Drosophila melanogaster: one gene and its partners. The protein of the gene in region 4 interacts with the protein of the main gene of each other region in a pairwise test. Each region holds a gene or a part of one and is shown on either strand. Other genes may lie near its edges. The genes, in order: vnd, vvl, pdm2 and D.

Region 1 (9,319 bases), on a different chromosome or scaffold from region 4:
GAAAACATCTTGCTGTCTTTTCTCATAAACTCTATAGCTGTTTATGTATGTCAGCCGCAAATAGCCCTCTGCTGTCGGTGGACCTCCACCCATTGCAACGCAAATATATTGAAAATGTATTCACAAAAAAATAAAAATAAACTAGGCAGTGCCCAAATCCCTAAAGGCCGAGCAGGAGGACGACAAGGACGAGAGCTACAATTGAAGTTGTTTGTACTTAGAAATAAGCACAAACAAAGTAGTTTGAAGTGCGGAAAATACAGAAGCATGCATACAAAAATAAATAAATACACAAATAAAGGAGCAGAGGGCAATAAAAAACAAACGAGTTTTTGCGGGAATCGAATTGAATTCGTGTGTAATTCGAATGCCAGCGCTCCACACAAACACAGATAAATCCATGAGATACTAAAACTTCCTGCGGAAGCTAAGCCATAACAACAACGGCGACGCACACAAAGGTTTTACTTTGATATTAAATGCAACATCATTATTAAGCCCAATAACAATGGCCAACAACGAACGCCCGGGAAGATGGGCGTGCGCACATGGGAGAAATTTCCCCGAAAAGTCCTTTGGCGTAACCAAAATTTCCCAAACATGCGCGTCAGCGCACGGTGCGCACGGTATAACTCTCCTGCTCGCACGCTCTTCCCATTGGCCAGGCGGCCATGACGCGCCCACTTGACGGCGACGTCGTCGTCGGCAGAGGTTATTACAAGATAAAATTCTACCCCCTCCACTTACCACCTCCATTCCCCCATGGGGAGAATAATGGTGCGAAGTCATGAGCGACAGTGGGGTGCCCACTTTTAGAGGGCGGATGCTCGTGGATAGGGATCATGGAGCTTCCTTCATATACACAACATATATTTATATATATATATATATATATATATATATATATATATATGTATATGCATATTCTGATATATGTATATAGCCCCCAGCCCATATGTAAATGGGGCCAGCCCCAACGGACTCTTGCCATGTTTTCAATTGCCTCGGGCGGATACCCCCAGTTCAGTCTGTCCTGTCGTTTACTGCTCGTGCTGATTATGTATATTCCCATACTTTACTTTCGACCTCCTCGCTCGCACTCTCCCTATCTGTGAGTGTCCGGGGTGTGTCCCGAAGCCACCTCTCAAGGAACGGCGCCATGTATTGGCGTTTGAAGGATCTGCACTAATCACGAGTTGGCTTACGAGTATGAAATCGAAATTCAAATTGCACGAACAGCGACACTCCTTGTACATAAGGCCCCTATGTCAGTGCCAAAGTGGTCTATAACAGTTCCGTTGCACGCAAGAAATTTATTGCAATTCCCAAAGAACGTACCGTGAAGTAAACTAAATGTCCAAGTATAATAGCATACCACTAACACGGCAGAAGAAAATAATGCCTTCGCAAAAATAACGTTCTTTCACCGGTATGGTAATGTGAGAATGCCTTTAAAAGGGTTTTCGCAGTGCGCCTTTTAAGTATTAAAATAATAGTTCGTGGTTCAAAATAAGATTTCGTTGCTGACTAATATAAAATCACAAATATGTGATCAATCCTCCCCAGATCTAATCATGGTTGGTACTCAAAATCTCAAAGTATTACAACCCGACTGGGATTTTAAATGATGAATTGATCTGATTCTTAAATAGCCAACTACATATAGAAAAGGCGAGAGCGTAATTCCAGAAAATTTTTCTTATCGCCCTCGTTCCTCAATAGGATAATGGCTGATATCACCATCTGATATTATCGTGCTAAATGCCGGTCACAATCGCATGTCTTGCCCTGTCCTGTCCTCTCCTTGGACCCACCGCATAGGCGCCACAAGTCGGGGCTGATGTTCCCGCTCCGGAAGTCCAGAGTTGCAGAGAGCTGATAATGATAAATACAATTAAATGACGCGGGGAATGCTGACAACATCAAGTGCAGAGCACTGCTGGAAGAGAACGGCCCAATCCCAGAATCCCTATCTGGGAACGTCAATCCGACGTGCCTGAGGAGGTTCGTGAGGCGCTACAATGGCCTCGCATCCACACTCACTCTCGCGCACACACAAGCAAACATACACAGAGGCTGCAGCACACACACACTCTCACTCAAGTGGCACTCTTGAGAGCGGCAGAGAAAGCAACAGGAAAGAGTTAGAGCGGGATGACGTGCGGCATAAGGACTCGGTTCACATCGTACGTCTCGCTCTGGCGACGAATGGTGGTTGGTTCTCTCGGTGGTTGAATAGGCCACTCACATTGTTGCCGTATCCTTGTTGAAAAGGACATAAGAAGCCACTTAGCGCGCCCAACAAAGCCGAGAGTCTCTCCAGTCTGGCTGTGTGCGTGTGTGTGTTTGTGTATGTGTGTGTGTGTGTGCGACTATCCGAGTATCTGCGTTATGTACCCAATGGCAGAGGGATGCAGATACAGATATGCACCACATACATAGTGATACCCAAAGACACCCCGAGCATACGACCTGGTACTTTTCTGCCGTTGGTTGTTGGGTTTTGGTTATTGGCTGTTCTGAAGCGACTTGGACTCGTGTTGAGTTCTTGATGCCTCGTTAGTTGTTGATGACACTTCAGTTTGGAATGTGTAGAGTGCGCTGCTCCGCGGACCCGTGCAACTGAGAAATCGAGAAACGACTCGCGACCCTTGAACTATCGAACTTTCCCGGTGATAAACTTAAACTTAAGCCTAAATCGAACTATGTCTGGAATTTAAGTTGCCCTACCAGGATACCCGCTTAATTCATCGCAGTGCTACCCAGTAACTACACATAAACATATTTTTTTTCCGTGCTCCGAACACCGTAAAAGCTCCAAAGTGGCGGAGAAACGCAAAAGTCCGCCCACGCCGCCACCCGCGTCGCAGCGTAGTAAATCAAACAGTGGTTCCCCGATATCGCAAAGCGATATGACCACGTCGGCGTCCTTGGAGAGGACCCCCTCAAAGCGGGATCGAGATCGCGAGCGGGACAACAGCAGCGGTCTGGGCAGCGCTGGCAGCTTGCCCGCATCGCCCCAAAGCGCTATCACGGTGAGTCCGTCCTCCCCAGCCACGCCGAAGCGCCCGCTGCGCACCTCAACGCCCTCGCTGGAGCGGAAGAGGGAGCGTGAGGATCGAGAGGACCGGGAGGATCGCAAGGAGCGGCAGGAACGGCACGAGCGAGACAGAGATCACGAGAGATTCGCCGCAGTCTTCAGCACCGCCAGCACCACCGTGCCCACGAACACAAGTTCCAGTTCCGGATTGGCGCCCGAACAGCTCCGCATTCCGACGGGTGCAGCCGCCTTCAGCGGATTTCCGGGGCTCCACAGCATGAGTAGTCTTATGCTTCCATCGTCGGCGGCTGTGGCCGCCGCAGCAGCGGCCCCGTTTCTGCCCTGGTCGCCCATCCTGCTGCCGCCGTGGAACCACGCCCTCCTACCAGCCGCCTTTTATCCGGCGGCCCTGCGAAACGCTTTGCCTGGGTAAGCACAAGGATTCCAATGGAATAATTAAAACATTGATACCTCTGGAGTGGTGAACACAAACCTATGATTCATATGTCTTGGTTACGAAAAGCATATTTTGGTGATACGTTGACACAAGTCCATTCTAGTTCTTCTAATTATGACCTCTGTTTTGTGGGCTATTTATAAACGCTTAAGCATTGGTAACACTTTGATGGCATGGATCTGGCCAAGATATGGATAATAAGGACATGCCTCAGATTGAAACAAAATTACTGACCACCGACAATACGTTTGCCTTTCATGGCTGACCACTTTGTAAAAAACAGATATGGTTTTCAAGGTTTTGGGTTCCCGATTAATTTTCTATGTCTTTCTATTAATTCTCCTAATCTAATAATTTGGAAGATTGGGCGTTGAAAGCAGAATCTGCAGAATACGCAAGACCATTAATTAATTCTCCTAATCTAATAATTTGGAAGATTGGGCGTTGAAAGCAGAATCTGCAGAATACGCAAGACCAGCCATACTTTGCAATTGCCTTCGCCTAAGCTCCGACTTAAAATCACACCCTGCGAGCCTCTGCCTCCATATTAGTGTTTAGATCCCATATAGCTGATGGACTTGTCCGGCTAATCCTGGTAGCTCTTTAAATTAACCAAGCGGGCACAGCGCGCAAGTACAGGACACAGGGTATAATTCCCCGCCTCTTTGATCTGGCAAGTACTCAAGGTCCTGGCGAATGGCGGTTGGGAAATTCTGGCTTGTTGTTCGACCCTGGCTTAGAAATTCCCGTAGGTGAGAGCCAGGGAAACCCCAATCGGGAATGACATGTGTACGACAGACATGGGACTCAGATGCCTTCGAGATACTGGCGTCACACTGTCTGGCAATGGGATTTCCGCTCAGGAGGACGGGGAATGCCCGTGTAGCCTGTCCATAGCGTGGGAAATTCGCGAGTCGGGGTCTTCGGGAAAACTCGAAATGGGAAAACCGGAAGCAAGCAAACTTGCGCCAACATGTGGCACGACCTGTTTCGACCCGTAAAGAGTCCCTGCTGACCTGTGCTGACCTGCACTGACCCGACCAGGTAGCTGCGATCCTTACGAGGCGGATTTGCGTTTAATTGTTGATGGTATTAGGCAAATCAAAACTCGGGGTCTGACCGGGACTAGGTGTCAATAATCCAGCGATTTGGGTGCACTTATTCAAAGTTAATTCCGGGGGAAATGTGCGCGTTTTCGGTTCCGAAGCATGCCTGCAGGATGCACACCCCCCACCTCCTTATCTTCTTAACAACGGCAAGTGCAAAAATCTGTGAAAGTCAGAGCGCTACAGGTAGTGCAGGTAGTTTCCTTTGCATATCCCGACCAACAGGGACCTCCTTTTGTTAAACCTTCCGGCCATTCACACGATTGACACAGGATGTCGCTGCAATAAGCATGAAACAGGGAAAAATCGTTCCACGTCCTCTAAGGAGCCATCTTTATACTCGGGGAGTCATTAATCACTCGATTATATGACAATTTGCCGGGACAATTAAGAAACTACACAGAATCTCAAGAAAAACTATTACAACTCATCTTTGGTATGCTTTTTGCCTTTTTTTCTTTAAAACTGTAGGCGAGTGCTCAATTGAAATGAGAAATAAACATTTAACTCAAATTTTTAGTGTTGAAGTTCAGTTAGAATTAACATATTGATCTCCTTGCAGCTTATTCGATGCAAAGGTGCCGTCGTCCCAACGCTCTGGCTTCCATATATCGGACATCTTGAATTTGGAGGGCTCTGAGCTGAAGAATGCAGCAGCTGCCGCCGCTGCTGCCGCCCACCATGGCAGCGATTTGAGTCACCACTCGGCCAGTGAGTCCACCAGTGGACATCGCGGCCAGGGATCTCACACCTCGCCTTCGGCGCTGTCGCCCACGCCAGCGGGCGTTTCCGCGGACGAGCACCACAATGGCAGCGGGACTGGGGGAGGAGCGGGAGAAGCGGATCACCACAGCACCACCGAGCATCACGCCCCTCCTAGCCATCCGCAGCAACAGCACCCGCACCACCAGCAGCACCACCACCCTCACCTCCTCCTCCCGCAGCAGCACCATCAGCAGGCGGTGGCCCCACTCCCTTTGGCGCACCATCAGAGCGGCGAAGCCCAAAGCCACGCCCATGCCAATGCAGCCGCCGCCCATCTGCTGGCCAGCCACAATGCAGCGGCTGCGGCTGCTGTGGCCGCCGGCCAATATCTGCCCAACCTGCCCAAGAACTTCCCGGGGAGCTTTGGCGACGAGATGTCCTCGTACCACCACATGGCCCAAACCATGCTGCAGCACTCGGGCAGGAGTGCGTGGATCAAGGAGAACGAGCTATACGGTGAGCGAATGTTTCAACTCATAAATGGATACGCATGTATCCATTTTCATTTGCTCCATTTCCAGGAGATAGCTCCTGGCCATATCAATAACCAAGTTAGAGTTGGCTTTTTGAAGAAGCAACACTTAAATGGCAGGTTGTAAGCAAGTCTTTGGATCCCAAACAAATATCCTTTTGAATCGTGGGTAGGCAAAAGAGCAACGAATTAACTTGGTTTCAAAATAGACTCATCAATGAAGTCCGCAGGAAGCTCCCTTTAAGAAATTTACAATTTTCGACTGCATTTAACCCCCGATTAACTGGCCGACTAATGATACTGTTCCGTAACTAACCACTCACTGCTCCCGAGAGCCAGAGAGTTGAAGCAGTCGAGCGATGAGGCAGCTGTATTTGCATACCCTGTGGACTCGACGGATTCACGTGCTTCCAGGGTGTGACAAGCTTTGTTTAATTCTGGCCCTGTTGTGTTTTATTTTCGTTGGCAGTTAACTGCGGATCGAAATGGGTATATAACTGGGAATCAAGGAGCAGGGGTTGGGCTTCCCCTTTAATCATGACTAATAGTTTGTATGCGCTTCACACTTGAGGATTAGCCCTGTTGTTTTTCTGGCAGTTGACGTCCTTCGTGTCCTTCGGCCAGGACATTCAATCGCTGCCCGCTCGATCGCTTCTTGTTGTTGCGGCCCAAACATTTCTCATCCTGGAAATTTATGGCACGCACTTCCGCCTCATCCCTTCCCACTTCTGTTATTATTCCTTTATTGTTTAGCTACAAATTATAGCTGCTGCCCACTTGCCGTTTTTTTATTTTCTCTTTTCTGCTCTTTTTTTGGGAGTTTCCACAGCTGTGAAGGAGTCGAGGAAGAGTCATTTTGATTATATTAAGTTATTAATTTGTTGAGTTGTCATGGTGAGCGCATGGCTTCCGTGGCAGGGCAAATGCGGCTAGCTCGGTGGGAGCTGATAGGCGAGCATTAGGAGCTCCTACGACCCTTGCATTTGTTGTTTTATCAATGTCCCACGGGGACATCACCCCGGGCAGGTGAATACACACATTAGAAGACATTTTATGAAATACATTGCAATAGGAATAGAAATGCAGATAGGACGCGTTCCGATTCTTTGGAATGCTGCCTTCGCAGCACTATATCCAAAAGTTCGAAAGCTAGGAAGAACTAAAGGGCTTCTTTTTGATTTTCTATAGTTACATGCCTCGTTTGAAGTTGCCTGAATACTGGCATAAGCCCACTTCTAATACCTCTGCAACCGCAGATCCCGCCCCAGAATATCAGAAATAGCCACACCCGGCGATAAATCACTAAATCACTATCTGTTGGAAGTTCGGAACTCTTGCGAAAGGGGGCGAACCGGAAGAGACCCGGCTACCATTGATGTGTTTGAGGTCTGGCTTTTGTGTCGTTGTCCCATTAGTATCCTGGTTGCTGGTTTTTAGTACAGGCCCAGGATCAGCAGTCATTCAGCGAGAGATCGAAGCGATCGTTTCAGGTAGACGACAAGGGAATACCCACCTAGGCATGTATTTTTGTATGTATTTGTGTGCGATCTCTGTTTGTCTCCGCCTAATTGGCGTTGTTAGGGTGAAGCTCGTAGGGGATGGGCAGGGGTTGATTTGACGCTGCGGACCATAAGGAGTGCATACATCTGGCATTTGACATTTGGATCGTTTCCGACCACAGCTTCATGTTGCGCCTAATCCAATTGCCGTAGTTGCGATACTGACTTCCCCCTTTTGTCCCGAATTCTGCATGATCACTTGGACGATGTGGAGGGGTGTGTCGCTACATTAATTTACGGCTAAAGAGGTTTCTCAATTGCTGACAAATTCCCACCCAGGGCTCGCACCCTGCCATTGCCTTTCCATTCTGTAGGACCATTGTGAAAAATGCAAATAAATAAATGGCTATCCCAAGCAATTTATTCCTCAATTAGCAGCATATTAAGAAGGGAGTTTTCTCCCGGTTTTAGCCATATATCTACTACGAAGAATTAGCACATTAACCAAAACCTTGATTTCCTCTTTGATTTCAGGTACCCAGCAGCCCGCCAGTCCGGATAGCACCTCCCCAGTTACCTCGGAAGTGTCGTACACCTACATTGGTTCCAACTGCCAGACATCGCCTGCCCTTTCCGGCGATTACAAGAGCTACAGCCGGTCGGCCGATAGCGATGCACTATCCGTGGGCGACGCCCTGCACACCCTCCATGGATCCTCTGGTAATGGAAGTGCCGGAGGCGCTCCGACGGCCCATGCCCTACACAACAACAATAATAATACGACAAACAACAATAACCACAGCCTGAAGGCCGAGGGGATCAACGGAGCAGGCAGTGGTCACGACGATAGCCTCAACGAAGATGGCATCGAGGAGGATATCGACGACGTGGACGACGCCGACGGCAGTGGCGGCGGGGATGCAAATGGATCCGACGGTCTGCCAAATAAGAAACGGAAGCGACGAGTCCTGTTCACCAAGGCGCAAACATATGAGCTGGAACGTCGGTTTCGACAACAACGTTACTTGAGTGCCCCGGAACGCGAGCACCTGGCCAGTTTGATCCGCCTGACGCCGACCCAGGTGAAGATCTGGTTTCAAAACCATCGCTACAAGACGAAGCGGGCGCAAAACGAGAAGGGCTACGAGGGTCATCCTGGTCTACTGCACGGCCATGCCACCCATCCGCATCACCCCAGTGCCCTGCCATCGCCCCGTCGGGTAGCCGTTCCAGTTCTGGTGAGGAACGGAAAGCCCTGCTTGGGCGATAGTTCCAAACTGGGAGCCGACTGCGTCTCCGTGTCATCAGCCACCGCCACCGCCATGCAGAATGCCGCCGCCCATCACTTGGTTGCCCTAAATGGAGCGGCCGCCTATCAACATGCCGCTGCAGCGGCTGCCGGCCTTCACGCCCACGCCCATGCTCATGCCCACGCCCACGGACACGGCCATCCACACGCCCACGCCCAGAGGGCCGCCTGGTGGCCCTAATATTGCTAGGAACTGGCATTCACGGGACTGGGGGCGGATAGGTGGATAGTCAGGCCCGTGGAGCGATGAGCCAGAAGACCACGCCTCCAGATTCCCAGTGAAGCCAAGTAAAAGAATATACAATAATAATTGAAACACATACAAACCCCTACTAGCGCTCAGTCTCCCGGACTTATCCTTGAGTCGTTTCTGTACATAGTTCATATATATAATCATATATATACCTAAATGACATAAATTTATCCATTCCTGGATATCAGACCAATGCCCATGACAAAAGAAAGCTACATTTCCTTCTAAATAAAAATCAATTTGCATAATACTAGTGTCTCTTGTCAAGCGCATTTAAGTCGCATAAAATTTAGAAGTAGATTCATTTTTTTTATTTTTTTTTTTTAGCCCTAAGTCCAATCCCAAAGATAAAATGTGTAAATATAATATAAAAATGAAGTAAATCTGAAAAATAGATTATTTCAAAAGAGAAATAAAT
Region 2 (8,810 bases), 7.4 Mb from region 4:
GCCGACCGGAGAAGGAGACGGGTAGATGGTAGATGGCCATATAAAAATGCAGCCGAAATGCTAATCGAGCTCATTATCATCCAAATCAACGGCGCCGTGGACGCGGCCGCCACGAGATATCTTCCATTCATAAACGCAGCGCTTAGTTGTATATATATATGTATATTTTCCTGCTCATTTTTTACCATCGCATCGTTTTTTATTTACTCGCATGCGGCGCATAATTATGCAACAAGTCCTTTGCTGGCCACAAAAACCAAAAACGCGGCGCGTGCGCATTTAGCATATGGACAAAAAAACGTAAAGCAGAAAAAAGTGACAGAATCACCGAGGGAGGATGGCCAGCAGAAACAGGATTTCTTCCTTCGCTTCGACATTTGAAATTTAAATACCAGCGTTTTTTTTTTGTTTTTTGTTTTTTACTCACTCGCTGTTGTTATTTAGCGCCGCCACCTAATTATCATGTAAATTTTTGTCTAAGGACCAACAATGACTGTGACTTTATTTTGTCACTGGGGTTTTTGGGTTGGAAACGCTTGGCTTATTAATTATGCCCAAGTGCGTGGCCAAAGGATATGGTCATGGAAAAAAAAACGTAAACAAATTTCATGCAAATACGCTCGAACTTGTCTGGCTTGCGTCTGCTCGGCTGGATGACCTTAGTTTGCATAATTTTTTGATTGAGCTCTTGACCTGCCTCAAAGGGGTCTAAAACTATGCTAAGTATTTTGTGGTGGGTGTTTATGGGATTCTTGGGCTAGTTATGTGTGCCAGGATTTATTAAATGAGAAAATATATGAGAGGGTAGCTTTGAACATTTTATGCATTAATTAAATATATTTTTTAAGTGGGAAAATTCTGAATATATGTTGACATATTTAAGGGAAATAGTGGGAAAATAATAAGTAATTTTTTTTTTAGAAAGGTAAATTTGGTTAAATAAGCTATTTTATGTCTGCATATATACATTTGACGGCAATTGGCTTTGAAGGCGAAATAGATTTCCATTGATTGTGTGCAGAGTTTCATTCATTCATTGTTTTAGGAAACATAAACTTTTACGGATATTTTTCATTTGATTCTTCGCATTGTCCCATAACGCTCCGCTAAATCAAAAAACTTTAAAACTGCACAGCCAGAAACAAAAGTCAGTATTCCAATGATAACTTTAACGATGGCAATTCCTTTAGCTATGCAAATGTATCGCTAGTTTCGCATTAATTTCGCAAAACTGATCATAGAATCAATGAAACTGACGGATGAAGTGAATCAATATCTTTTGTCAGTGAAACATAATTTAACTGTAAAGCAGTCAAAACACAGTCACAAACACAATGAGCAAAAGAAAGATATCAAGGTGGAAAAGAAAGGTATATTTTATGTAGGCAGCCAAACGAAACTTATATGCATATGAAAAAGAAAATTATAAAATATTCATCGGTAAAATGGTTATTTTTTTAAACGAAAATTTTAAATATCATTTCATACTAAACACTAATTTACTTTCTTTAATTTAATTAAGCTTCACTCACACATATTATAAACTGAAAAAATACAAATAAGATTTTCTTATATAACACATTGGTTAAATATTTAATGGGACACGGTCTATATAAAAAATATTTTCAACAGAATTCAGCGAAATTTGAATTGTCCAAATTCAAGTTCAAGATTTATTTATTTTTCATATTGATAATCAAATATTATTTGCTCTTAAATATTTTTACTATGCACACTTTTTTGGATGAACGATAAATAGTTAAATATTTAAACTGTTTATTTGTTTAATTCCTTTTCTACGCCACGTTAGTAATATGTTCTTCAAATCGCAATGGCAACCACTCCAGATGTCCCCCCTCCCAAACAAACACACACACTCACAAAGCCAAGGGAAAAGTTGTCTGGCCAAGGAGCTGCAAGGAACTGAAACAAAGCTCCCCGAACGGGAGAGAGAAGTCCTGGACGCAAAAGCTCCAACTGGGAGATGGCACTACGTGTAATCCCTGTGTTCCCGATAGCTGGACTCGAAGAAATCGAGAGATGCGCCGTCGCCGTTCATATCATCTCTCGCCCTCTCTCGCTCGCACTGGGCACTGGGCAATTAAAAATGTCACTCTGCATGGGAATGCACTGAGGGAACTTCGTAGAGCCGGCTCTGGTATTATTTTTTCATCTCATATATTTTTTTTGTTTTTGTTGGTTTTGGGGGCGTAACGCTGGAATACAGCGAGCCCAATAGAGCGCAAGTCTCCCTTCCAGTTGCTCGGTAGAGCGTCTATCTCGCTTGCCGCACCAATGGCGGTGCTGCTCGCACACATGGAACGCTGGAAGGCCAGCGGACAAACTGGTTTCGCTCGCCGGGGTGTGTGTGCGTACTGCGCTCGTTGGTGTGCGTAAACGTATCGGTGTGACGTACCGCCGAGCGTCGAGAGCGCTCAACGTAGAGCTGCGGTGCGAGACATGACGTTAGTTCACTTCGATAGCTCTACGAGTCTGCACGTGAATTTTCCCTGGGCTCTCGGCTGTCTTGACTGCTCAAATCTCACAACACACAATCTCAAATCTCAATCGGCATCGAATCGGTCAAGCAACCCAGTAGAAACACACATTCGAGAAATCTCAATCTGTATCTGAATATCAGAGTTCTGCGTTCTGACCACTGAGTTCTATCGATGATTTAAATCGTTGCGAAAAATCGCCACAAAAAGTGCCAAGTGTTAGAAGTGCTAAATGAAATTCGAAAATAAAAAAATCTAAATAAATAACCAAATAAAACGCAGTTAGCTCAACGCTAGTCAAGCTAAATAAACGTGAAACCCCAAGCAAATTGCCGTCGGATTTTTTACTTAACCCAAAGCTGAAATAAACTTGTTGAACGCGTTCGAGGGCCACGCCCCCAAAAAAGCAAACGTCGAACCCAAAAAAAAACAAAATAAGCGAAATAGAATATTTTTGCGCCTGCCACGTTGCCCGTAAAAGACGTCAAGACGGTTGCCTCACGGTTCGAGTGGAATGAGCATAGGGACCCTGGTCTTCCTTTCGATCGATCGGTGTACAAAGTCGTTAAACTGAGCCCCAACTTGGAGCCCTACCCCGCCAGCGTGGAGGGCCTGAACAGCCCCAGAGCGGTGGGGATGGCCGCGACCTCGTACATGACGCCGCCGAGCGGTGATCTGGACATGGCCCTCGGAGGCGGTGGCTATCACACCTCGTCGCCGCGCTCGGCGGCTGATGCCGGTGAAATGAAGTACATGCAGCACCATCATCATCATCATGCCGCTGCCGCGGCAGCTGCCCACCATCAGTTGCCCTCGTCGCCATCGCCCAATGGCCAGGGCAATGGTGGCGGACTTGGATTGGGTTCCGGTTCCGGGTTGGGCTCATGGAGTGCCCTCCATCCGGATCCGTGGATGCAAACCCATCATACGCACCATCTGCCCGCCGCCGCTGCCGTTGCCTCGGCCGCTGATACCGTCAAGCAGGAGATGTCGCATCTCTCGCAGCAGACGCGCATCCAACAGGGCATGGCCTCGCCCCATGCCGCCTGGCATGCCCCCCATGCGGGACACTATGCGCCAACGGGCGGGTCACCGTTGCAGTACCATCATGCCATGAACGGAATGCTCCATCATCCGGCCCATGCGGTTGCAGCGGCCCATCATCAGAGTGTGGCGCCACTGCATCATACGCTGCGCGGGGAATCGCCACAGCTGCACATACACCATCACATGGGCGGCGGCGATCGGGATGCCATAAGCGGCGGCGAGGAGGACACTCCCACGTCCGATGATCTGGAGGCCTTTGCCAAGCAGTTCAAGCAGCGCCGAATCAAGCTGGGCTTTACCCAGGCCGATGTGGGCCTGGCACTGGGCACTCTCTATGGCAATGTGTTCTCCCAGACGACCATCTGCAGATTCGAGGCACTGCAGCTGAGCTTCAAGAACATGTGCAAGCTGAAGCCGCTGCTGCAGAAGTGGCTGGAGGAGGCGGACTCCACAACGGGTTCACCCACGTCCATTGACAAGATCGCCGCTCAGGGGCGTAAGCGCAAGAAACGCACCAGCATCGAGGTGAGCGTGAAGGGGGCACTGGAGCAGCACTTCCACAAGCAGCCGAAGCCATCCGCCCAGGAGATAACCTCGTTGGCCGACTCCTTGCAGCTGGAGAAGGAGGTGGTACGCGTGTGGTTCTGCAATCGGCGGCAGAAGGAGAAGCGCATGACGCCGCCAAATACGCTCGGCGGCGACATGATGGACGGCATGCCGCCGGGCCATATGCATCATGGTGGCTATCATCCGCATCACGATATGCACGGCAGTCCGATGGGCACACACTCCCACTCGCACAGTCCGCCCATGCTGAGCCCACAGAATATGCAATCCTCGGCGGTAGCGGCGCATCAGTTGGCGGCCCACTAGCAATCAGAAATCCAGGAGTCGAACTCAGCTGCAGCTGCGTCCACTCCTGCATCCCTCAATAGTCTAAGCCAGCAGCAACAGCAGCAGCAGCAACAGCAGCAGCAGCAACACCAGCAACAGCAGCAACATCAGCAGCAGCAGCACACACCGAATACACCATCCTCCAGTGCGGGATCATCGGCTACGATGACCAGCCAGGTGATGTCGCCGCAGAGTCCGCTGGGCAGCTCCTCCGCTGGCAATCAGGCTAACAACAATAATAATAATAATAACAACAACAATAGCAGCACCAACAATAACAATAATAACAATAACAACGAGGAGCAAGTTAAACACCACCAGCAGCAACAGCAACAACAGCAGGCATCCAGCATAGCAGCCGCTGCAGCAGCCGCCATGTACATGGATCCCATGCGCTACCAGCATCCGCACCACCCGCATCCGCATCCGCACCAGCATCCGCACCTGAATCCCGCCCACCATCCGCACCTGTTCCACACGAGCGATCAGTTGCAGCACTCGCAGCAGCAGACCGTCGGCGGCACCAGCAGCAACTCCCAATTGTCACCGGGTGCCGGCAGCAACAGTGGCCTGCCACTCCAGCCGCCCAGTTCCGCCTCGCCGGCCGGATCCGCATCCTCGGTGCTTGGTGGCCATCTCAATCTGAATCCGCTGCACCAGCACCACCACTATCAGCACCACCATCACCAGCAGCACCACCACCACCAGCAGCAGCAGCAGCAGCTCCACGCCCGCCGACTCTTCGAGTTGAGTCTGCAGTTTGGAGCGGCGGCGGCACCGGGAGCGGTACGGCACTTTAACAGCTTTGGCGGGGCGGGCGGAGCGGGTGGCGAATAGCATTCGTCGGCCGCCTGGTTCGGCTATGAGTCCTCCTAGGATTCGGCGTCGAATGGGTGGCCGCATTTCAAGCGGGAGCAGCCCTAGAATCGTACAGTCGAACTTCTCTAACGCGAACTCAGTTGGTTCGATTCGAATGATCGCAAAAGTAGCTATCTAAAATTTAACTAGCTGTGAGCATTTCAGAATATTTCGTAAGTCATAAGAATATTTTTGAAATTTTTCAATATTTTATTTCTGCGGTGTTTTGAGGTTTTTTAAAATTTGAAAATAGCATTTCACAGTGTTCTTAAAATCTGTTACTAAATTGGCGACTGAAAAAAATCATTTTAAACATATATACTTAAACAATATGAACCATATTGAGTTCCACGTTAGACAAGCTCGACTGTATGCAAATCTTTAAAGAATAGAAATAAGATGAGGTCCGTCGATGAGGTTGAGAAATCATCTTTTTTACCAGTGCATTAATCTGTGTTAAACTTCAGCTTAAATAGGAGCAGGGAGTGGAGGAGGTGGAGAAGATGGGGAGGCTGCCATCCACCATTTTAGTTTGTTTTAAAGTTTGAAAAACTTGCTTAAATTAAATCAAATTAACTAAATTAAAATGTAAACGAAACATTTCCTTTGTATAAAAGCGAAAGAAACACGCAATTCAAATCAAACGTGAAACCAAGTGATGTTGTTTTAACCTAAAAACTAAATGCTAAAAAATTAAACTAAATGAAAATAAAAAAAACAGAGAAACTAGTTAAAAGTGCGACCCAAGTGTTAAAGAAACCAAAAAAGACAAGCAAAGAAAACAAATTCCTCAGCTGCTCTCCATAAGCAAGGTAAATGTTTCCATGCCCAAAAGTCCACAAAATATTTTTTCGTTCAACACTTTGTCGCCGTTTAGATCAAGTAAAAAAAAGGCTCAATGAGAAAGAAGGCAGCGGTGGGAGAACTCGGTGGGTTCTAGATAGGGTCTAGGTTCTTAAGCAAGCCGTGTTTATATATATTATATATATATAGCCAGTAGATTGTACTCTAAAACATCTATAAACGAACAGAACGTAAAACAGAAAAAGAAAAACGTAGAATTTAACGCGCGGCGAAGTAAACAAAAATACGAGATGAAGGAAGGATTAAGTAAAATATGAGAAAACCCCAAAACATCTGTAAATAAAAACTTACAGTTAAGTCATATTTTTTAGCTTTAAATGCAATTGTAGATTTTTTAATAAGCCCCCCTAAGAGAAAAATCATTAAAAATACAACCACAAGCGAAAAAAAAATAAACAACATTTACAAAATATAAATTTTAATTTTTAGGCGGTAATTTTTAATGAATAGGCACGTGAAGTTTAGTTACTTAGTACTGTACTTTCTATATAAGCAAAAGGAAATCGAATGGAAAACAAAAATGAATATAGCTAAATCTTAAAATTTAAACAAACCAATAATAATCAAATACCACAAATGCTAAATTGTAATATATTAATTGATGTACATTAAAACAAAAGGCAAACTAAATGCTAAACGACAAACTTGAAATTATTTCAAAAACAAAAATAAACGAAAATTGTGTAAAAAAAATCATCTTTGTGTTTTTTGATATACGTTTACATTTATGTCTACTTTTTCTATTTTCTTATACAAAAACCTAAAAAGAAAATCAAACCTTATCCTTTGGTGTAACTTTATATATTATAGAATCTAACGAAATTTTTGTTTAGTGTACTTTGTTTTGGTATGTTGAAAACTATGCTGTAAGAGCGAGAGAAGCGAAGCCGAATATTTAAGATTAAGCCATGCCCTCAACTGTATAATAAATTATATAGACGTACATATATATGCAACAGCAAAGTCAACAAAGCGGTGCATTTCCACCTACACATACACACACCCACACACCGAGGAAAACCAAGAAGAAAAAACTGAAAAGCAAAAAAAAACTCTTAAAAAAAAACAAATAAAAAAGAATATTATTCGAAAAAAAAACGCACCGTCCTTTTATTATTATTTAATTAGCGGCATCATTTATTTGCATTTACTTTCGTCCGCTTTTTGGTTGTGAAGTTTATGAGTCGTTGGTTTTGACAGTTTTACAGGAGTTTTACGGCCACCTTTTGCAGATGCTGGTTACGATAGGGCGTTTATATCGATGAAATCGCGATAATTGCGTGTATTATTAATTTCGTTTGTTTGCTTAAAGTGTTCGAAAAGCCATTAAATAATTAAGTGGGCACATTATAATGTGATTGCCTACGTCAGAGAGGGAGCAATTGGCAATTAACTAACAACACAACTCGCAGATCGAGTAATACCGCTCGTTAATGAAAGTTGCCATTAAAAAGCGTGGCATTTCGTGAAATTACCCTTTTATAAGGCCTTAAGTGCTGCTGGAAGCACCTGATGGATCTCTGTTTGTCCCTGGTCAATGCGCAATCGTTGAACAAAACAAAAAGAGCACCGACGTCAATCGAAAGGCGATTAAAGTGACAATTTGCCAGATTTACGCGGTCAATTTAATTTACGAAATAAGTTGGGTGTATTTTTCGTTTGCAGAAATCATTCAAAACTTCCCAATTCGTCAAGGTATTAGTATTATGTTTAAGTCCTTAAATTTTTAACAATTTAAGTTGTTTCCAAAAATGAAAAACAAATTCATGAAATACCATTAAAGTCGTCTCATTCCACCTGCACATTGCCCCCTGGCCGCCTTATTGTCATCTAATGTACCGCACGCTTTTAACATTTAATTTATAATTTAAATGCATATTTCATTGGATGCTGATTAACAATTTTGTGCCGAAATGCTATTGGTTAGTAATTCTGCATAAAAATTGCATCAGCCCGAAAAATACATATACATACATACTCGTATAACCCGAGCCCTCTCACTCGCTTTTGTGTGCGAAATAAATTCGCATAATTGAAAGCCAGTTTTAGGCTTAAATATATAAACAACAACTGCCCCAAAAACAATAACAGTAACAAATAACAAATAATAACAATAATATATATTGTACAGAAGCGCAAGTGCAATGATTTATATTTATGCGACGGCAATAATGCCGTTTAAACAAAACGAAAATATCGGTTGTTATTTTTGTTGAAATTGAACTCTTGGCGCGCGTGGTTTATAATGTTTCAATAAAGCGTACGGAAAATGAAAAATAAAAATGAAAATTATATTTTCCGCACCAAACTAAGCAAAAACACCCACGCGATGCGCTTCATGCACTTGAACAATATAATATCGACAGTATTATATTATCCACCCATATAATTATTCTCTATGCTCTCTTAATTATTTTCTAACAAAAAAAAAGAAATAATAGACGGCGAAATGAAATGAAATTTAATGGGGAAACAACATGGCTGCCCACAAGCCTATTTATACGTTTATCTATTGCCACCTGCCATTTTGGGGTAGTTGAACACACACACACACACGCACACACCCACTCGTGTAGATGAAACCTGCCCCTCGGGCTATATAAACTTTTATATGGAAAACGGAAAGGAAAGGTTTTTTTTTTAATGGTC
Region 3 (6,521 bases), on a different chromosome or scaffold from region 4:
CCTATATATACACAAGTGTGTGTGTGTGTGTGTGCGAGCGTGGAGAGATGGAAAAATATTATTTTTCATAAATTTTAAAATATACCATGGGCAGGACTGGGTGAGCGAGTGAGAGGGCGAGCCTTGTGTGTGTGAGCTTCTTTTGTCCTGCTTCACCCGTGTATAACGGTAAATGCCAGCCATACGTGGTTATATATTTGTACAATATACATATGTACACGTCGAAGGCAAAGTAGAGGAAAATGTATGCAACATTTTACAATGCAAAAGCCATTTACTTGGGCAACGTAGGAAAGCCAAGGGAGATGGAAAACTAAGAGCCCCAGAGAGAAAGAGAAAAAGGACCGTTTGCGTGTTGGTGTAAGTGTGTGCCGCCTGCATGTGTGTGTTTGCTCGTGAGGCAGTCAGCATATGAAAAATGAAAAGTCACAACTGCGAAACGAAAAATACGAAAAGAATACCGTTGAAATACAGCCTTAGGAAAGGAAAAAAAATATTTCTCCTCTTTGTTTCCCTATATACAACAAATACCGCCCGCAAGCATTTATATACACATAAACATCATGGGAAACTTTCAACTTTTATGTCGCCTCGTCCTCGGTGGGTAATGTAAATAAAAAGAGACAGGAAATGTTTGCGATATGTAAGAGCACACGACACAAAAAAAAAAGGAAAAGTGCAAAATTCTAAAAAGTTTCCACAGAACGCGGGGATGATATGGCAGGAACCATAACTTAGGCACCCGTCAGCTTAGCTTTGTTGGTTGGTCCTTAGGTGCTCGCCCTTCAATATGAAAAATGAGCCAGGGAAGGCAGATGAAATTTTGGGGCTGGGCGATTTTTTCAAGTTTTATGGGGCGTATACGGAATGTGGAATACCAAATGGAAGAACTAAGGGCACAGTTCAAGAGGTGGTTGTCTACTTTTTCGAGCGTGTTAGTTAGGTTCTGCATATGGTAAAAATAACATTTTTTAAATATTCAAGTAAACACCTGAGAACATATGAATTAGAGCTACAAAAACAATATTTTTTTCATATCAATAAAGAAAATTACATTTTTACTGCTTATAAGAAGAATTTTTTAGTTTTTATTATTTACCAATTATCCTTATATAGGTTTTTTGAACGTACACCTATTGTACACACAAGTGCTGCAAGTAAAATCTTCAAAAAGTACGCTCGCATCAGTTTTACTCTTCCCCAACTTCTTTATTTCATAACTATCTTTTGATTACCAAATAGTTACTCCGTGAATAGTTGGGTCATACTCTTCAGAACCTACCCCCACAAACTAAACCATTTTCAGACGAAACCCATCGATTAGTTGGATTTAAGCATCTCGAAACAGCGACAACTTAAATGCTTACAAAACAAGAATAGTGGAAAAGAGGATGTAAAGGAGGCTGCAGAGGAACCAAAACACAAGCAGACGGGCAGACAAGTGAATAGAAGTGACAAACCAAAAATAAAAGGGCCAAGAAGGGAATTTCCTCGGCGCTAATCAATGAAATTAAAGCTGCGGCCAAGGCGAAATATCTTTAAGGACTCACTACTGAGGGGGGGCGGCATGGGGGAGTGGAACATATAGAATAGTGAGCGAGCCAAGCTACTGCCAACTTTAATGAACGGAAATTAGCAGTCAAAAGGTAAAAGCCCTCTCGCTCTCTTTTTTTCACCCGCAGCATCTGGACGCCGCGGCGAATTCGCGCACATGCACACACAATGGCCAACGGCGAAATGGAGAGAGCTCCCCACGAAGAGCGAGCATGCGCCGCAAGAGAGCGCCAAAGCTCCATGCCGATTGGCTGCCGGCTGCCCACTTTGGGTGAGTGTGTTTGTGCGGGAGAGAGCGCGCTTGTTGGATATATTTCCCCAAGATTTTCTACCTCTCCCTCCGCACTTTCTCTCTCTTGCGTTCTCTTTCTGTTCAGGCATAAACAAACCATTTTGAATAAAATCAACAGCAACAACAGCGGCAACAACTACGTTGTTGCAACAATGTGGATCCCAAGTTGCCGAGAAAAATCAACTGATTCTACACTTAGAAAAGTTTTATATATTGGTTATAATACAATTTCATTAAAAGCCTATTAACATTATAAATTTACTTATAATTGTAAAAGAAATGTATTTAAAATACGCTTAGAACCTTTATATATAAATGTATAAATTATAATATATTCTATTTAGAGTAACAATAAAAACCAAATTAAGTTATACCAAGACGTGTTTGTGAATATTTGTTAAGATAAAATATAGAATTTAAGGTTTATTTCTGTTAAATATTAAAATGGTACAATAGAAAATGACTGGAATATATATTATATAATTTTTGTAAGTGTATGGTTACTACAGTTGCTTGTGGTGCTTCTTCTTCCATTTATTCAGCTAGTACTGCTCTTCTTCTAGATGCTTTGGCCTGGTCAAGTTGCATTCAATTGCAGTTTTTCAGTTGCCACTCCGTTGGCCGATTGTCGGTTGTCGTCCTCGCGACTTTTCTTGTTTATTTTTTCAACTAGCTGTGTGTGCGTGACAGCAACAACAATAATCTGAGGACGCCTCTTGTAATTATTTTAATTTATGCGTTTATCGCTTTTTGCCTTTTGCCGCCGTTCAGCGGATTCTGTTGGCTATCTGTCTGCATTTGGTTCGTTTTTTGCCTTGACATTCGCATTTTGACAGCACGGCGAATAATTCTCGGTTCTGCCATCATTGCAATGTCAATTTTTTTCATTTTTCATTCGCTGATATTCCGACTTGTCCACGGGGCGTATGCGTAACGCGAGTTGTGTTGTGATTTCTGGCAAGTGCAATGCCGTCGGAACATTGATTTTGAAAGGAATTAAATCTGTTTTGCCCATAAAATCATCTGCTTTAGTATTATATGTTTTATTTTATAAAACTTATTATTTTTATAAAAGAAAGAAAACGGTTTGGTATATAAGCGGCCATAAAAAAATCAAAAAATCTTGTATCTTGTGCCGAATAAATAATGAATCATATGATGAGAAACAGTACTTGAATCAATAAGAATTTTAATATATTTTATTATATTTTGCAAACTGAATTACTTGTATACCCTTATTCGGTTACTCGTATGAGCCTGACTCCTCTTCTCCTTCTCAATTCCCTTCAAGAGGAAATTTTCATGCCGCTCTAAACTACAAATCAACTTAGGAGCCCCCATATTATTTCTTCCCTCAACGAACAGAAGCAGCGGCAGTCAATACATACATAATTCGGAATCCGATAAGAGCCACCCACCCATATATACATATATAGAACACTCACACACACATATGCAGTACTATTTTCCACCCACACAATACAAGCTTTTCATTTTAAAACCTCCTGTAAAAAAAAAGAAGCAAGAGAAAGAAAAACGAAGTCAAACGCCCCAAAACACCCACGCACCACCCCCTCCACCTGTTTTATGGCTCCCTTTCCCCACCCCCACAGACACACACACACACACAGAGGCACATCGCAAACAGACCAATACACTGGCACACTCACACTCACTCACTCTCTCCAACATCTTCTATAAAAAAAAAGTATTTTTTGTACTCGCTTGACATTTTGTGGATACGTCGGACGTCGTCGGAAGTCGTCGCGAACTTTGCTTCTTTTTGCTCTTTCTCTTTTCTTTAGTCTGCTTTTTTTTCACTTTTTACTTTTTGCCCATATCTCCTTGCGCGTTTTTTTAAGTCAGTCGTTTGTCGGAAGTCAATCAAAAAGCGTGTCTCGGAGAATTGTCCCAAAAGACAGAGATCACCTCACCTCACCTCGACGGCCCACAGAAAATGCAGAAAGGGCGTGAAGCTGTCGCCATTCTCGTTGGCAATTACAATTTATAAAAGTGTGGCAAAGTAAACAATTAAATTATAATTCGTGACAGCAGGCGAAAACCAGTAGAGGAAAAACCAGTAAGGAGGTGCGCCATCTTCCAGCCCAAGTGAGTTTAACTCTTTTTTTTCTTTTGTACCCACTGAGTGTGTCAAGGAGCTTGTCTTGTAACGCCCACACTCAATGCGATCGATGGATCAGCCAGATGGATGATACAGATGCCGCAAGAGAGAGAGAGAGGGCAGAACTGTTTCTTCTGGCCTGTCAGATTCCTAATGAGCTTTCCCAAGTGTCTGCGCGTATTTCAGCGTCCTTAATTGGCCATATGTGTTTGAGGGCCAACAAGTGTCCCGATATGGCTGACTATGGTAGTTGGACGGGCGAACTGAATCCATCATAGAGATCTTGGTCGGGCTTTAGCTAATCATAACAAAATTGTGACCATGTTCTGGTCAAATCTTTAACAATGGAAAATCTTAAGGTTAGATCAAATTAAGATGCAAAATGTATTAATAACAAGCAATTATCTTCAAAATGAGGCAATATATATATATATATATTGAATATAGTATTTGATTTAAAGGATAGTTTAATAACTTTTTCTAAATTTGTTCCATTCCATATATTTTTCATAAACCTTCTGTGATTTGTGTACCCTATCTTAGATGTGCCACATATATATTTTTATGGGTTTTTTACAATTCCACTTCTGGCAATGATTCGATCGATAATCACGACAAACAATTTCTCAACCGAAAGTCAGGCAAATCACATCATCGAACTAAGTTCCCTCGTATCTTTACAACCGAACCGTGTACACCCAATAGAAAATTATGAAAACACAAATTCCAAATTGAAGACAAACACAATGGCAATGTTCGGTATTATATGATCGGCGATACGTTTCCAATTGGAGTAAGCAATTGTGTTTAATTTTAAAACAAGATGAAGTTAAACAAAAATAGCGAAAGCCCCGATATTGTCGGCCCAATAAGGAATTACCGTGCCGATTGGGAATTATTGAAAGTAGCACCGAGGAATAAGTGACTGCATTTAGTCGGCGTTCGCTTTGATCATACCGGCAGATATATCGATTCCTGGCAATTGGTTGCTGACATGCAAAGAACATAATTTACCGACTGGCAAAATTGATAAACAATCTTCGTGTGGCACTTTGGTTGCGGCCAATTTGCCGTCGATACTGACAACTCAATTGATTTGTTTACAAGTGCCATTAATGTTAGTTGCCCCGACCCGCCTCTTCGTGGCTCATATGTACATAAACCCGTTTGGTAATGTATGTAAATAACCATTTCCATAAACGCACTTGCACTTTTCAGCACCGTATCTTATCTGGCCAAGTTGACTTGTTGTTCGGGGCATTTGATCGTTGCGCTTGTAGTTTAATTTCCCATTTCTATTTCCTTTGATTTCATCGCCTTTTGCCGTGATTTTTCGACACCCACCCACCCACTCCTTATCTCATTTGACTTCAATTTGTTTTCAATTTACAACAATTTCGTTTCAAACCACATTTGGTAAATGTGCCCATTTTCATTCTCCCATTTTTTGTTTGCATAATAATACAAAGTTTAGGTTTTAGTGCCTTTTATGGTGTCTACTGCTGTAAAGTTGTATACAACCACTTTTCACTTGTGGGAGCTGATTCGACAGGCCATGGGAAAATTTAGAGAAATGTTTGGACTGCTCAATAAACGAATTTAAAAGAGCAAACATTTAAACTATATAAATTGCGATATGTACTTTTATGACATGTTTACTTTCGAGTGGTATGGAATTTCTGTAATTATTTAACTGAATGATATAGTTTCTCACATATTAACATTTTCATTCAATGCTAGGTACAGTAAAACTTCTAATCAGTAACTTACTTTACATTTACCTTTTAGAAGAGAATATTAACTTTTAAACTTTTACCCTTATATATTTTTTTATCAAAATACAAACTTGTAATCGCAGAATGGGCTGACAATGCAATATACTCATGAGCCAGTTAATAAACTAAACTAATTAATCTCAGTTATAAGGTATACAAACATCCGTTCGATTTCAAACAAATCCACTGTTTCCACCTGTAACGTGAAAAGTCACGTGTACAGGAATGTGGATGGGTCAGTTATTTTAAGGGAAAAATCAATTACTTCCGCTATCGAGTCGTAAAGATCACAGCGCTCTATGTATTTAATAACAGCTTTTTAAAGTGCAGTTAACAGCAAATTAGGCTTTCAGCCGAAGAAGACACTTTTAATTATCAACCCATTTGCAGGCAGCAAAGGAGGCAGAAGGAGGAATACATATCGCCAGCGGTCCATGGGTCAATATCATAATCTGAGGCAGCAACCGGAGCGGCAAACAAGTCGCCACAGGCAGCAAGGAGCAGTTGAGTTGGCCATAAATCAAAGCGACGCAATTTGCTGCTGACGAACTGCAACGCAACAGCGGCAACAAGAGCAGCAGCATCAGCAGCAGCAGCAACAACTATGCCATTACTGCTGGCAACAACACTTGCCAACAATTCCCATCATCAACACTTGAGCACAACAGCAACAGAGACAGCAGCAGCAGCAGCAACAGCAAAAGCAGCCGCAACTGCAGCAGCAGCAGCAACAGCAACCATGTTGCTGACTTCGCCGACAGCAGCAACTCATTGCCTT
Region 4 (6,691 bases):
CATTTGCGCGATTGTTCCTGAATTTAATTAAAAAAGAATGAATGACAAAAATTATATTTGCGGAATACAACAAATAAAAATGAAACCAGCTCCCCAAATGACAATTGAATGAAAACAACAACAATCAACAATCGAAAACAACAACAATGCAGGAACGAACAATAAAACGCGAGTCTTTCTCTTTCACCGCGGAGAATCGGTGAATTTCGAATGGGTTAAGCGGTGAGGGTGATTTCTGGCGACAGGATAATGGTTAATATTGTATTCGAATAATAGTAATCACGGCACAACTTGACTCATCTCTCACCTGCCATTATGCGATCAAATTAAATTTACATTTATTTAATTTTCAACTGCACTCTGATACTGTATTTATACTGATAGATTTTTATCAGATAAATATCTGATAAATAAAATGTTTTTCAGTTTGCACGGCACCATAACAAAGAAAGAAAATCTATTATTAGCTTAAGTAATTATTAAATTAGACAGAAAACATATTTAGAGTTTATTTATCCAACTACGAGTATTAGAAGTTTATCATGAATTATTTTACAACTTCCACTAATTTGAACAATATTCTTAAGACAATTTTGATTGTCACTATTCCGCAAAAATGAAATTAAAAATGCATCAGCTAGCTTATTTATTTATTGAATTTGATAGCAAAACACATAAAGAGTATATGTGCTAATAATTTAAAACGTTTATCCTTATTTGTTTTACTCTTTACACTTATTTTAACTGGATTCTAAAAGAATATTTATTTATATAAAATAAGGAATTCATCATAAATTGTATCACAAATGTAACAATTATTTATGCCGCATGTGGGTGGGGAGCGATTTTAGGAAACAGGATCCTGCATTCATCCTACACTGTGTGCTATTATCACTCACTTAGTGTCCTCGTCTGCTAAGTGAAATGCTGAAAACTCAGAAAGAAAAATGTGACGCGGACAAAACTTTTTCCATTACACAACGTACAACAGTTTTTGCTTTCATTATTATTTGAGATTCGTTGTTGTTGCCGTTCTACGTTGTCCTTTCTTCCTTTTTTGGGGAAAGCAGACACAACGGAAACGTTGCGAACGCTGAAAGCTTTTTATGCTCTTACGCTATGGGCCAGGTATAAGAGCTTTGTAAATGCAATTGGAAATTGCACTAAGCTTTGGTGCATCGTTGTGTGGGTGCGTGCATGAGCAGGAGAAAGGCAAAGAGAAGGGTGGGATAAAAGCTCAAAGGGGAGAATGGTTTTACTTTTGGGGTTATGGAGTTTTAAAAAATATAATAGAATATTGCAACCTTATTCCTGAAAGAAACATTTTTATTAAAACAACGGCTCTTGGGGTCAAGATGTTGTTTAATGAAGCAATGTTAAACTCTTACAATCTTTGCATCACAAAAGCCATAAATTATGTCTTCGTTTCGAAAGAGAGGTAAATATGTGTGTTAACAAGAATTTGAAAACTTATTATTATTATTTGGGAAACTCTTTTAGTTACGAATGAAAAAAACATTAGTTTGCGGTAGATTTAATTGTCAATTATTCGATTGCCCTTGTCCTTTCAATCAACATTAAAAGGTTTGTTTTCTTTTGCTACTGCTTATTTGGTAAACCAAAAAGAAAAGCTGGCTAAAACATCTTTTCTATAATAAAGCACAGAGGACCGTTCTACATGCATCTGGGTGAAGATTTGCCTCACTTCCACTGGCTCCTTTGTGGGCTTCTTTCTATGGCCAAATAAGTAAATAATTGCAGTAATATCCTTTCTGGAGCGGCCAGGAAGAAGTGGCAAAAAGGGAACGGAAAAGAATGGAGAAGAATGGCGAGCGAAATGAAAGAATGCGAGAATGGAGAGCGGGGCAAGAGAATGGAAAGCGTGTTTCCATGTCCTTTTCACAAACTAAAAAGTCCTTTCACACACACACATAGTACTGACTACAGAGTACACATAGAGAACGGTATATAGCAGAACACAGACACCCACAATGGACAAAAATTCACACCAAAGACCCATTGTGATTGGCCCAACAAACACGCACACACATACGCGGGGAGAGAGTTGTGTTCTCTCCCTCTCTCGTTCTAACTGCATAGGAGATGCGGAAGTGCAACGCCGCCGTGCAAACAATAACGGAAATTGTGTGCCCACTGTGCGAAAATCAATGTGCTCCCGCGCTCGCCCTGGCTCTCTTTCTCTCTCTCGCTCCGTACTTTGAGCTCCCCCTGCCCCACAGGATTGGGGTCGCTAAATCGAATAACACGAAGCACAGCCGAACGAGAGCTGCCTGGCTTTTGGCTCTATTGAGCTCCTCTATTGAACACACCCCTCAATGGGCGAACAACTATAACCGATATAAAGGAGCCAATGGAACAAAGCCAGTGGAACAATGGGCCGCAAAACGAAAGAGAGAAGACGCTATGTGTGAGTGAGAGCGCGACGACGGCGCAGCTCTCTCCCAGGTAAGAAGCCCAGCCTCTATCCCGCTCGCACCCACGTGGCTTACGTAAAGGTAATGGTGCGAGGGTTGCTCGCACTTCGTGCTCAACTCTCTTCCGAGAGAAACGGGATTTGGCTGCAGTCGTGTAGGCCGCACTGGAACACTACTGAAATCAGTCACAAAAAAGCAGTCGATCCGAGCAGAAGCAAAGCAAGAGCAAAGCAGAAGCAAAAGCAAGACAGTAATTGACATAGAGACAAAGAAAAAATCTGAGAAATCACAGTTGAACCACAGACATATTGTGTTCTAGAAAGTGAAGTGTTGATCTTGAAAGAAGCAAAAGTTAAACAAAGTGTTCAAAATAGCTGGAATGGCCACCTTATCGACACACCCCAATTACGGTTTCCATTTGGGTCAGGCCCAAGGCTTGGAGGACTACGCACCGCAAAGTCAGCTCCAGCTGAGTCCCGGCATGGACATGGATATCAAGCGTGTGCTGCACTACTCCCAAAGCCTGGCAGCCATGGGCGGATCGCCCAATGGACCCGCCGGCCAGGGTGTGAACGGATCCTCGGGCATGGGTCACCACATGTCCAGTCACATGACCCCGCACCACATGCACCAGGCGGTCTCCGCCCAACAGACCTTGTCGCCCAACAGTTCCATCGGATCCGCCGGCAGTCTGGGTAGCCAGAGCAGCCTGGGCAGCAATGGCAGTGGTCTCAACTCCAGTTCGGGTCACCAGTCCGCCGGCATGCACAGTTTGGCCACATCGCCGGGACAAGAGGGTCACATCAAGCGTCCAATGAACGCGTTCATGGTCTGGTCCCGCCTGCAGCGTCGTCAGATCGCCAAGGATAACCCCAAGATGCACAACTCTGAGATCTCCAAGCGCCTGGGTGCCGAGTGGAAGTTGCTGGCCGAGTCGGAGAAACGACCATTCATCGATGAGGCCAAGCGCTTGAGGGCCCTGCACATGAAGGAGCACCCGGACTACAAGTACCGGCCACGCCGCAAGCCCAAGAACCCACTGACCGCTGGACCCCAGGGTGGACTGCAGATGCAGGCCGGCGGCATGGGTCAACAGAAGTTGGGAGCTGGACCGGGAGCTGGAGCCGGAGGCTACAATCCATTCCATCAACTACCGCCATACTTTGCACCCTCACACCATCTGGATCAGGGTTATCCAGTGCCGTACTTCGGTGGATTTGACCCACTGGCTCTATCGAAATTGCATCAATCCCAGGCAGCGGCGGCGGCGGCGGTCAACAATCAGGGTCAGCAGCAAGGACAAGCCCCGCCCCAATTGCCGCCCACCTCGCTGAGCAGCTTCTACTCGGGCATTTATTCCGGCATCTCGGCACCTTCGCTGTACGCCGCACACTCCGCCAATGCCGCCGGACTCTACCCATCCTCGTCCACCTCCTCGCCGGGATCTTCGCCCGGAACCATCACGCCAAATGGTATGGATGGTTCCATGGACAGTGCCCTGAGGCGACCGGTTCCGGTGCTCTATTAGAGTCGAGTTTTAGGTTAGAGTACAGAGTAGAGTACAATTGTTGACGCATTCCCAAAGTGATCCACTGGTTTTAAATCTTCAAAAGCTCTAAGTAAGCCAATCCTCCAAACCACTCCGCTTAATTCTAGTACAATCTTCGCGCACTTCAGATCTAGAGAGTAAGGAGGGAACACACAAAACATTCCTAGCCAATACACAAACTATAAATTATAATTTATTTAGCGCACTCACTATACCGCAAAGAAAATTAAAAAAGATAAACCTAATTGTAAATTAATTTTATTTAGTTTTAAGCATCGAGCGAGCGCCTCCTTCTTGTTGTTTTTTTTCGCATCAGCACCTACCTAAAATGTAGCTTATAGTTTTAATTGTCTAACCCTCTCAAATTGTAAATATCCCTGCAACTATTCGTTAAAGTCTCAGTGTAGCCCCAAATGCGAGGAAAGAACGTACATCAATGTATTATTGTATTATTAATTGTATTGTAAAAGTTATCATCTAAGCGAATAATGGTTCATGAAGGCCAACACAAAACAAAGACATTTAAAAGTGAATAAAAACAAAATGATTTGAGAAAACCAAATTTGAAAACCTGTTTATTCTATTTCAAATAATTTACAGCTTGGAAGATGTGAAACTGGCAATTGGTTTTGAAATGAATGATGATGATTCTCTACCAAATGTAATCACATTAAAGACATAGGTAGAGTTGTTGTGACTGGAATCAGACGAAGTTATCATATATATATATATACCGGGAAAAAGCTGAAAAACAAAAAAGATAATTTTAAGCCTTTAATAGAATGCATTTCCCATTTTCTTAGCCAGCATACCACATTTTACAGTTATGTTATAAATTTACTTTAAACATATGCCCAAGCTATATGTGACTTAAATTTTTCAGCTGATTATATTTTATACTCCATAATTGGATTATCATATTTAAATTCGAATTTGTGTCTGTATTTTTCATAACCTTTAAGATTATACAGGGTCGTGCTCTGAGCATGCATCAAAATTATCAACGAAATTAATAACGAATTTGAATATTCATAAGACCATTAACATAATATTCTCAACTGGATTGAGTGAGTCATTCGGATAAAGCTTAAAAACAATCATTTCATCATCACCTAATAATGGGTATGAATTTTTCTGTTTTGTGAGTAGTATTCGTTTAATATCAAAGTCCTATCCCGTTTCTGATCAAATTAACCTTGTCTCTGGGTGTCTTTACTATTATTTCGCTCATTTCTGTGTGAGTTTTTGTTGGTTAGTTTACACCCGCTGGGAAGAGATGAAAAAACTAAATTTGATTTGCCATTATACAACTATTTGCCGTTGTGTATTAATTTCTATTGATTAATGCGCTGTTTATTTTGCGCCTCCAAGACAGAATTCGATAGTTTGAACAAAAGGTCGTCTCTTCGCTCTTTGGATGGGGGTCACATTGTGTTTTTTTTTCGGGATCAACGGGGGGCCTGGGCCCTCTAAGACCTCACTATTCGGAGTGTAACTGAATACCCTGGCGAAAGAAATCAACGCGTGTTTTTCCGTTTTGATTTTTAGCTTCTTTTCGTAATAATAATAAGAATAATTGCGGTCATTAATAAATCCACTTGCATTGTCTTCCCCCGAACTCTGACTCTTCGATTGCCGTTTTCAAGTCTTTGGGAGTCTATTCAATGCCCTCTGCCCCGCTCCCCTTCGTTTTCCACGTTGTATGTCAAATGTGTTAAAATATCAAATATTGATTATTGTTGTTATTATGCGTATTGTTGATATTGGTCTTTTTTCCATGCCTTGTTTCTCCATTCTCCGTTTGCTCTGCAAACAAATATTTACCCAGCATTGACGTGATATTGAATAATTATATAAAAATTGGATTCTTCTGGCTTAGCTCTTTGGAACATTACTTTGTGTGCACAGCGGTAAAGGCTTCCAAAGGGTTCAACAATACATTTGTATTGTAAGGAAAGAGGTTTTTATAGTATTTTGATTGGATAACTATTTTTCAAATCTAGAAACTATTACAGATTTTGTAAATAATAAATATCAATTAAAAGAACGGCATCCGCATTTTAAAAATTGCATTTTAATTTGACATCCTTTAGATAATAGCGGCTCAAGAATTCGCGCTGCTGAAGTAACATATTGTATTTTATTATTCTACTTTATTACATTATATTTCGTAACTACTTTGAATCTTACAAGTTAAATTTTATGCCATTTTTCGCATCATAACATTCTGATCATAAAACTAGTTACAACCATAATCAGCCATTAAAACAATCTATGATCAAATATCGGATGTTGCCTTTGCCGAACCCAAACGGAAGTGATTAACTTTCGCTAAACGCCCAATCCATCCATCCGACTAAGCCAAGCTTAAAACATAAGCCCGCTCACGCCTTCCTGATCCATAGTTTAAACATTTCATCCAAAAAAAATGATGCACGAATAATTGAAATTCCATTTCAACTCGTTGGGTTTTTAAGGATTGTCGAGAACGTTTTACGACCCATCTCGCCTACGCCTCCTACTCCCAAAAGCCACGCCTTTCGTCCCATTTGGTCACGTCTGTATACAAATATAATTTGCAGCCTCCCGGTTGCTTCGATTTTTTTACGACTTTATGACCGGGGATTAGCGTCCGGTCCGCAGAAAGGAGTGTGCGAAATGTCGCGAGATTTTTATGCTTCTAGCGCTGTCTGTTTGGGTTGTTGTT

The links.
Region 1: the proteins of D (region 4) and vnd interact in a two-hybrid assay, tested with the Drosophila melanogaster proteins (one study listed by BioGRID).
Region 2: the proteins of D (region 4) and vvl interact in a two-hybrid assay, tested with the Drosophila melanogaster proteins (one study listed by BioGRID).
Region 3: the proteins of D (region 4) and pdm2 interact in a two-hybrid assay, tested with the Drosophila melanogaster proteins (one study listed by BioGRID).

The regions. Positions count from the first base shown.
Region 1 is NC_004354.4:588,483-597,801, forward strand, and holds the start of vnd (ventral nervous system defective), read left to right. Parts: upstream 1-2,559; 5' UTR 2,560-2,912; coding exon 2,913-3,469; intron 3,470-5,165; coding exon 5,166-5,824; intron 5,825-7,873; coding exon 7,874-8,829; 3' UTR 8,830-9,319. UniProt on the Drosophila melanogaster protein: Probable transcriptional regulator involved in the regulation of the proneural AS-C genes and the neurogenic genes of the enhancer of split complex. Could specifically activate proneural genes in the ventral-most neuroectoderm.
Region 2 is NT_037436.4:6,787,692-6,796,501, forward strand, and holds vvl (ventral veins lacking), read left to right. Parts: upstream 1-2,466; 5' UTR 2,467-3,134; coding exon 3,135-4,418; coding exon of another isoform or gene 4,419-5,363; 3' UTR 5,364-7,250; downstream 7,251-8,810. UniProt on the Drosophila melanogaster protein: Binds to a DNA sequence element required for the expression of the dopa decarboxylase gene (Ddc) in specific dopaminergic neurons. Could also play an early role in specific ectodermal cells, and a subsequent role in the embryonic nervous system.
Region 3 is NT_033779.5:12,654,119-12,660,639, forward strand, and holds the start of pdm2 (POU domain protein 2), read left to right. Parts: upstream 1-3,046; 5' UTR 3,047-3,955; intron 3,956-6,133; 5' UTR 6,134-6,347; coding exon 6,348-6,521. UniProt on the Drosophila melanogaster protein: DNA-binding regulatory protein implicated in early development. Involved in neuronal cell fate decision. May act as an octamer-dependent activator of transcription.
Region 4 is NT_037436.4:14,173,462-14,180,152, reverse strand, and holds D (dichaete), read left to right. Parts: upstream 1-1,532; 5' UTR 1,533-1,584; intron 1,585-1,660; 5' UTR 1,661-2,814; coding exon 2,815-3,963; 3' UTR 3,964-4,543; downstream 4,544-6,691. UniProt on the Drosophila melanogaster protein: Essential for segmentation and CNS development. May modulate the actions of other transcription factors, including gap and pair-rule proteins.